2 linked regions of the Drosophila melanogaster genome follow. The protein of the gene in region 2 interacts with the protein of the main gene of each other region in a pairwise test. Each region holds a gene or a part of one and is shown on either strand. Other genes may lie near its edges. The genes, in order: CG3517 and Pfrx.

Region 1 (3,977 bases), on a different chromosome or scaffold from region 2:
CTCAAAGAGAGGTGTTCTCCTAGGTGGGTTGCTCAGCCGCAAGTGCTGTGATGAAGTGCGCCCGAGTTATCGTCGGGCCGAGCTGCTGCATAAGCCAGATTAAATGTATTTTCCATTACTGTTGCATGCCACTTTCGGCCAAAGTAGACACAGACACCAACACAGGTCACAGCTCTTCGCAGCCGGTTTAGTTTTCCAAGTGGCCAAGAGTGTGAGTGGGCCAAATGGATGCGGCCGTGTTTGTTCGAGCTAGGTGTGTGTGTCCCCTAAGAGCAAACTCAATTTTCCGTCTTAATATAAGGCAGTTGATATGACCTCCTCACTTCCCCTTATTTTCGAGCCATTACTTTGGGTAATTAAAAGTGAAGTTGGTGGAATTTAACCAGATTCAATTGAATGAACTTCTGATTTTAAACCTTTTATTAAACATTTGAGCTACCTTAGGTCTGGCAGTAATTTTGTTTAAGAGCTATACTTCTTCGAAAAATTTACTTTTGAAAGGCTCTTAATCCTTTAATGATACCATGGCTATGTGGAACGAAAATAAAAGAAACCTTGTTTACAGAAAAGTACATAAACTAGCTTGAGTACAACTTTAATGATAAATTGTTGAAGAACAGCTGGAACTGAAAATTTTGAGAACTGCTTTCCTCAAGAGTAAAGTAAAATTTAGAAATCTAGCAAGCGCCGATTCGCAGGATCCTTCAAACTTAGGTCTCGCCCTCACCCTCGGTGATCGACGGCTGTTTGGTGGCCAGTGGAGAACCGTTTCCTTCATCCGGTATAGTGGGCACCGTTTTGCCGCCGAGGGCGAGGAGAGCCTCCGGCGACATTTCCTGGTGGGCTTCCTCCTCCTCCTCGCCCTCGCCCTCATCGAGCAGCTTCTCCTCAGGCTCCGGCGGCAGCCAGCAGGTTCCCTTGACCAGGCGGTCCTCGATTTCGGCGATCTCGTTCTTGTAGTACTGATTGAAGTCCGGCCGCTCCCATATGCTCTTGACCCACTGCAAGTTGAAGTCCATTTTGGTGCAGCAGCAGAACTTGCGCGACTTGTGGCACTTGGGGCACTTGGCCGGCTGGCGAGCAGGGTGTGTGTACTGCTGCTTCTGCTTCTTCTTGCAGCAATATGGACACACGTGCTTGGGCTTCTTTTTGTTGGAAGTGCAGGGAGTCGGTTCCTTGGCATAGACCAGATGTCCCCGCTTCTTGGCACAGAAGCAGCAGTTGCAATCGTCGCCCTCCGGCTGCCTCTTGCGCGTCTGCATGCGATCGTAGAACTTCTTGAAGGCTATTTTGATCTTGGCCTCGTATGCCAACTGTTCGGCGCAGGAGAGGCCATCGAAGCGGGCATAGGACTCGGCTGACTTCCTGGCTGCGTGGACCCAGACGCATTCATCGTTGTACGAGGGTCTGCCTTGCTCATCGTAGGTCAAGTCCACTTTCGGCTCGTAGTAGAAGGCCTTGAATCCCCTCTTGATGATGGCATAGGCCAAGTGGGCCTCCACCTTGTTCATCAGCGACTTCTTGCCCAGCTCGTGGAACAAATCCTCCTTTCTCAGTCGCTTCTTGGGCGTGGTATCAATGCAATAGCACACCTGATCGTAATGCAAGAAGGCATATGTGATAATGTCCACGGTTGATTTCGCTTTGCACTCGTGCAGTCCACAGATGATCATCACCTGGGCCAAAGTGTTGGCCAGGTCCAGGACATTTTCTAGGAAAATCGATGAGGCATTTACCTCGCCCAAGCACTTGCACTGGGTGTGCTGATCGATTATGCCCAAAGGAGCATGCCTCTGGCACTCCTTGTGCTGGCAATTATTCCGGCATCGGAAATCGGGCATCGCATGATGGGCCTGCATCGCGAATCGGTCTTACCTCTATTTTGATGCTGTTCGCTACTCCTTGCAGCATGAACAATTTTCGAATTTTTTACCTAAAAGTTTTTTTCTAACTAGTTGATAAAACGAGACAAGCCAAATGAATGTTATGGGCGAATGTTCGCCTGACAGGATTTAAAATGATCAATTGCTGCTAGATTTCGAGTTTTTCCCATTTGGTAAACTAAAACGGGAATGGAATATTTCGTTTTTTTTAAAAATAACCACAAGTGCGAAATACAATTGTTGCAATAAATCAAACTACATCCGCAGTACATTTTCATTTGTAAGTCTCTTAACAATCAAATGCTTTTCCGTTTATCAGAGAATAAAATATTCACTATTTTTGTTTGGAAAGATTGTCGTACTGTAAAGGTATGAAAACATACAACATTTTATAAAACCAAGTTTTTCTTGGCCAAATTGTGTTTCTATTCCCAAAATAAACACAAGTGTCAGATAACAAGGCAAAGCCTCAGGATTTTCTCCAAATTTGGTTACTTTCTTGGCTTTTCATGTTGTCGGGGGCTAAGCGGCATTTGATACGGCATAGATTGTTTGAGTTGTGTTTTCGTTTGTTTGCCCATTCCTTGTAGACACACGTATAAGTTTCGATGGGTCAAATATTTGTTAAGCCAACAGTGGAAATTTTCAGGCAGCCGCCAAGTAGGCGACGCGACATTTCATTTCTCTTTTTGCGGCCTTCGTAATGGATGTCCTTTTTTTTTTTTTGGGCGGGATACATTCGTAATTGTTGATGACGGCATTGAGTCAGTTTATGATTCATTGGGGAGTGAGAAATGCGTCTGGCAGTGGCATAAATAAAGTACGACATCCTGAGCTCGTTCCCAAGGGAAACGTCAGCGTAAATACATCAAAGAATTTATTAGACAAGCTTTGCCATATCCGTTTCCTGTTGACAAATGTCACGGGAACCGAAGAGTCATCTAATAACATTTATTCTAATGGAAAAGGCGAACGGAAAAAAATCGCTGACGAATGTAAATCTTCATTTGCTCAATGTCCTTCCAACTTGACCCCTTGCATATCAGGGAACTTTTTGGCCATAAGTGTAAGAAAACTGGCTTTAATCGCAGAGCACAAAAGCCCCATAATCTGTCGCAGACAAAAAAAAAAAAAAGGGAGAAAAGTCGTTACAACTTTGTTTAACTCATAATGAAATAGCAGCGCGGTGCGGTCCTGAAGATGAGCGATTTCAATCCACAACCTTCGGGCTCTTGTTTCTTTTTTCTTTAGGCTAAAATGCAACTACGTAACTCATAAAACTTGAGCAATCGCGCATAAATCTTGGCCAGACAAAATGGCCAACTGTTGTTGCCGGGGCCTTATCGGCCGGACTTCGTTAGCCGGCAATTTTTCTTGGAAAATGGAAAAGCGACCCACAAGAAATTCATATTCGTTTCTCTAACAATAAAAGTTGACAGCATGGAACGGACACGTGGCGATGGTCAGGCGGCAATAGGAGTACCTGTCTGCCGTATAAAGTTACAATCGAAACCATTTTTCCGAGCAGAAATAAAATACCTCTGGAAATTGTTTTATGTACAGCAAATGGCACGAAATGTATCTGTAGAGATTTATGCAAAACACCGATTATGTAATATTTTTTAAGGTTTCGTTTAATCGATTGATATTAGATATATTTTAATGTTGAAGATATATGCCAACCATTTTAAAAGTAATAAACTTTGAACTCTGCTTAAATTGTTACAGAACAAAAATAAGTTTGGCAAAATATCATAACGGTTGCCATATGATTAATATATATTTTATCCTGAAGTGCGAATTTGTTTGCAGGATGATAAACACTTGTTTTAAACCAATTTTAAGGCGTCGTTCACACTCTGTTAAACTTTTCCACAGATCTGGTCTGTAAATAATCCAGCTTTAAAAATATCAATCAACTGAATTTCGGGACCATCTGAGTGTAAGCCCAGCTAACCCACATTTATAACCGCTTAGACTGTGGCACGTACCTAAAATTAGTGCCTCGTCGCCACAAATACACACTCGCATGTAACGTCCACGTCATTCGCATAAAACCCTTTAATGGTTATGCAGGCACCAATTACCATTAAA
Region 2 (5,297 bases):
TTTTCAGCGGCATGAAAGTCCGGCCGGACAGGGCCTGATAAGACTGATAATGGCACATTGCAGAACGGAACGGCGACTCAACTAAATGAACTGATGAGCGAAGGGAAGGGAGCAGAGAAGTCCATCGGCGTATGATGGCGGTGTTTAATACCGATTATGGTCGCCTCGTCGGTTATCAGCGGGCCAGAGCTATGGCCAGAGCCATAGATCACTGCCACATTTGGATAGCGGCAGAGTTCATAAACGCCTCCATCATCCATCGCCTCCCCGAACAGGCGCCTTTTATCGCTCCTCCAGGTGGCAATTTACGATGCACGGCACGGTGTTCACGTGAGTTGCGAGTGAGTGGTGCTGCTGCCGATGGCGATGCTGCGTGGGTGGATGCTAAATTGGGTCTGCCAAGCGGCAAATGCAAAACTTTCCACCTCACTGGCGAAAAGAAACAAACACTGTTGCCACTCGATATCTAGCCTCTGCCTCTGACTCAGCCGCATTGAGTCATTACAGCCCCTTTTGCGGAACCATTTTACCATTATATACATATGTACATATGTGCGACATCAAAGCCCTCTGCCCTCCGTCCATTTCGTATCATCAGTTGAAAGATCGGGAGTTTTCTGTAACTTGCTATATCTACGCTTTACAGAAACAGTGAGCCCTTGATATGAGTGCAAAAAAAAATCTATACAATGTTCATGCACTCTTTAAGATTCTTCATCGTTTTTGGTTCTGATTATTTGTAAGCTTCTTTTAAATTTCAACTTAGCATCCCTTAGTTTGCAGAGTATGCTGATTAGGTAAATGATTTCACGTATTTGCGAATCATATAGACATCTGTATTCACAAAAAAAAAACGAAAAAAAACGATCATTCTATGGCAGACATAGTTCACTTGAATTGATTTTCGCACTATAATAGTTTAACTTTGCTCAACCGGCAATGTTTGCACATATGTTTGTTTTCATCATTTAACAACTGCGATTCCATCTAAAAATCAATTAGAAACTACCCAAAGACGTTTGACTTGATCGCAAAAGGGTTATAAGTGGGCGCAACCCCATAATACCGATCAGACCACCTGACCCGGGTTCTAATTGCGTTTCGCGAATAGCTCCAATGGGACTCGTGACCACCTTGCTTTCATTTCCCATTGTAGTAGGGTGGAGCATTTGGCCAGTTCGAGCAATGGTATGTGTCATAGTTATTGTCTAGTTTCGATATTACAACTTTACGCCCCTCATTAAACAATTTTTAATTTTAGAAAGCAAACAAAAAAGAATAGTGCTCTTCGCTTTTGACATTCTAGACTTCAGCTTATATGAATCAATTTTACAAATACATGACAAATTACATGACAATATTGTTTTGGATTTTTCAATGCAGTGCAATTTCTATAGATTAAGTGCAGCATGCAGCACACTTCTGAATACCGAATGCAGCTAAAAGTTTTCTGTAGTTCAACTATTTAATATGGAGACACCCTGTGTGTGTGTGTGTGGGATTCACTTTTCACCGCTGTAGGCACATAGATAAGCCCCAACTTTCGGTTTCAATGCCATGTGCTGCACTGGGCTCAAAAGGGATTGGGCTCTAAGCACCGAAGCCTAGGCTCCTATCCGTGGAACACATGTGTCATGTGACTGGTAGTAGTAGTCCGTCGATATCCGAAGTTCGGCAGGGCACTGAACTGAAATTGAAGCCGTAGACAGCTTCCGATCAGCAAGGTGATATTCGCTGGGCCCCACCAGACACAAACAAACAAACAAACAAACAGGAATTATAAATAACGGACCCTCAAGGCCGCCGGAGGGGCGGAAAAGGGGTGCAAAGCGGGTGGGAATGGGGTGGCTTGTGCAAAGCGGTCAGGTGATACGGATAGCAAGTGAAAAAATGACCAAATCACAGCGATTCCTCGGTGCCTCTGTCGTATGTGCTGCTGTGTTCTGGCTTATTTTTCCGGTTCCCCAAAGAAAAGCGAGAAAAATGGAATGATAGAAAATGAAGGCGACCGACGACGGCGACGACTACGTGGTGTTGCATATAGCAAAAGCCAGAAAACTTGAAAACTAGCAGTCGTAACAACAATAACAAAGGCGGCAGATAGGAAATTCACAAAAATTAGCAAAAATAGCAAAATGCCAGAATACACTTGAAAATAAAAACAAACAAAGCGTTTCACTGCTTCAGATTCTCATTCTTCATAGGATGCCGATACGACCGCCGATGACGATGATGACGAGTGGGGATGGCGATAATGACGCCAAAATGAGAAGGGAGCCAAGCGCCGCATAAACAAACGACGTAAATGGCAATGCTGCGTGTAATCCCCACAATAGAAAACCCATAGAGAGAGATAGAGAGAGAGAGAAAGAGTGGATGCCCAAGAATAGGCACTCTACTCCCCACACTCCCCACTCTGTGCTATCGTCGCTGTGTTAATGAGCCAAAGAATAACTGCTAATCAAGGTGGTGGTGCCCACAGCCCCGACAACCCAGACAACCCAGACACCCCAAACAACCCAGTCAGCACAAATGGAGTGCAACGTGGGTGAAATGAAGAGACTCTGGCGGGAATCTACACTAAATAGTATACGTACACAGGGAGGGGGCCATATCCGGATCCGGATCCGTATCCGTGGTTACCGAGCTGATCAGGGGTTTGTAGCCGGCGTAGAGCGGCGCCGTTGCCGTCGACTGAGCCATTGCCCTGGAATGCAAGCAGTGCAGGCGCGCGCTGAATGCAAGCAGTGTGCAGAGCGCCCGACCACCGACTTCTGGCCACTTTATCACTTAATCACGCGATTTGCTATTTGTTTTGAATCGTTACAAGCCAAAGGTAAACAAAACAGAACGGAAAAAAAAATCACAGATTACTTTTGCTACAACGCTAATTTCTTAGTACGCAAATAATAAAAAAAAAACAAAATAGTTAAAAAAAAAGAACAGAGAAAAAACACACGAATTCTCGTATTTTGACTTGATTTTGACTCGATATTGATGTGGGGGCGCACAGCACACAGAACAGCACAAGAAACGAAAGTACAAAGCGAATCCGCCGAACCGCGTATCAATTCAGTTCGGTTCAGTTCAGTTCCGTACACGTCGCTTGGCAAAATCGAAATGAGCAAAATGCGCAAAGCGGAGCGAGTCAAGTGCGCGGAGCCCCGGACCGCCGTTTGCGAAAGCGATGCGAAACGAAGCGATACGACACGAAACGGCACGCGAGCGATCCGATCCCATACGATCCCCCACGATATGATACCATCCGATCGGATCGCCGAGCGAGTACCAAAAAATCAAACAAAACAGCATAGCCGCAATAGGCGAGCACGGTACGGGGTACGGACCCCGTCGATTCCACCGATGTCGCTGACTCTCGGAATCCGGGAGTCCCGAGTCCGCATCGCTTGGCTATTCCTATGCAGGAATTACGAAAGGTTGCGGTAAATAGCGCAACAGCAGCGGTCGAAAAAACAGCACCCCTACAAAAGAGATCAATCTGATTGGATTTACTGATAATATATTGTACTATGCTATGCCCATTTAAAGTGAAAAGCCAATAAGACAGATTGCAAGAACGTACTTTTCACATCAAATATGTAGTTTAGTTCCAACTTGGCCTAAAAAAGCAAAAAATATATAAATATTCCGTTACACCTATGACAGGGCATTTAAAAGTGTATAAAAGAGATTAAATATTGCACCTCCAAGCCATTACCAAGTTTGCTGGCTTGGCAAATAGCACGATTTGTAACATTGTTTTAATCTTAAAACGCGTGTCATTACACGATAAGCTTTTATTGCACTTCCGTCCCTTACACCTTGAGAAACTATGGCGATCTCTTTGAACAGAGATAGCCGCGTGTGAAACTTTGGTAACTGACAAACGATATGCAATGCATTTAATTAATAACAATAAATTTAAATACGTAATTAAATGGATTAAATATGCATACATATGGTGAATGTGTCAGTGTAATATAATATTTAAAGCCATGCAAAGGAATTGAGGTGGAACGTATTTTAGATGGAATGAGAAGATTTTATTTAAAAATGAAAAATATTCCTCACCCGAAAAATTGTAACATTCTAAGCCATTCTAAGCATATTATTACAACTTTACAAATGTATTATTATAAAAAGTAAGCAATTAAACTAATTGCATTATGGATAAAACTTGATAAAATTAACAGAAAGAGTATATAAACGTCGGCTTATACTTTTGGTAGATTTGCTATTAATTAAATTTTTAACAATTGTTTAATATTCATTCCCATATTTTCCGCCGGTCAAAAGATGATATAAACAACCGATAGTCTAGGTATCGCATAAAGCGTAAGGTGATAAGGGAATGGCAAAAACATCTGTACAAAACGAAAGATGGGCACACAACAAGGGCCGAAAAAGCTTTCACGGCAGCAACAACACTGCGCGGCAGAATGCAACACTGTAAAAGCTGCGCAGCAGAGCAATGGCGGCCTACTGTAAATGTGTGTGTGTGCGCGCGGTGGTGGTGTGTGTGAATGCCTGTGTGGTGGGCCATCGGCCAGCGAGAGAGAGCGAGGGAGATGGAGAAACCACAAAGAGAATCTTTCAGTGTACAGCGGAAAATTCACAAAACAATTGCGTAAATGCTCCTTCATTCATCAACATGATAATCAGCATGAAAAACAAAATATTGCTTGTTTACCGTTTACGAATCGAGGCACACGCAGCGATTACCGACTTTGCTGGAAGAGAAACCGATAACAATAAATGCACCCGATGAATACAGAAGGCAGAGTGGAGCGAAACTAAAAACAAAAATAAAGAGCGCACACTAGAGCGCGACTTTTTTGCATTGCATTGGTGTGTTATCGGTGTCGGTGGCCGCTCTGCGCATGTGCGTAGTGTTTTGGTGTTCGCGGGTGTAGGTCCATGGGTGAATGTGTCATGAAAGCACTGGAAGAGGATATAATAATGCAACTCACCTCCGGTTCGCAGCACTTTAAACCGTAGCACTTTAAAATTGGGGGTGGGGTTAAAAGAGCATATACTGTTTGTATTTTACACTTTTCACTCACGATTTACCGCCCCTCGAGTGGGGCACTCCGATAACTTTGGCGCGGATCTATGCGAGTGGCCGTCACTGTGCTGTTAGCAGCTAACAGTGCTGTAATCGCCGACGTCAACGATACACGCAAGTGCGTGTGTTTGGCGCGCGTGCGGGTGTGTGTGTGTACTTACATAAATACACATGCAAGGAACCGATTCGCGGATCATAGCTTAGCTTAATATTGCAGTCGGGAACTTACCGC

Evidence for each region.
Region 1: the proteins of Pfrx (region 2) and CG3517 interact in a two-hybrid assay, tested with the Drosophila melanogaster proteins (one large-scale study listed by BioGRID).

Annotation. Positions count from the first base shown.
Region 1 is NT_033777.3:19,423,199-19,427,175, forward strand, and holds CG3517 (uncharacterized protein), read right to left. Parts: upstream 2,002-3,977; 5' UTR 1,860-2,001; coding exon 711-1,859; 3' UTR 581-710; downstream 1-580.
Region 2 is NC_004354.4:19,496,181-19,501,477, reverse strand, and holds the start of Pfrx (6-phosphofructo-2-kinase), read right to left. Parts: upstream 3,106-5,297; 5' UTR 2,704-3,105; coding exon 2,598-2,703; intron 1-2,597.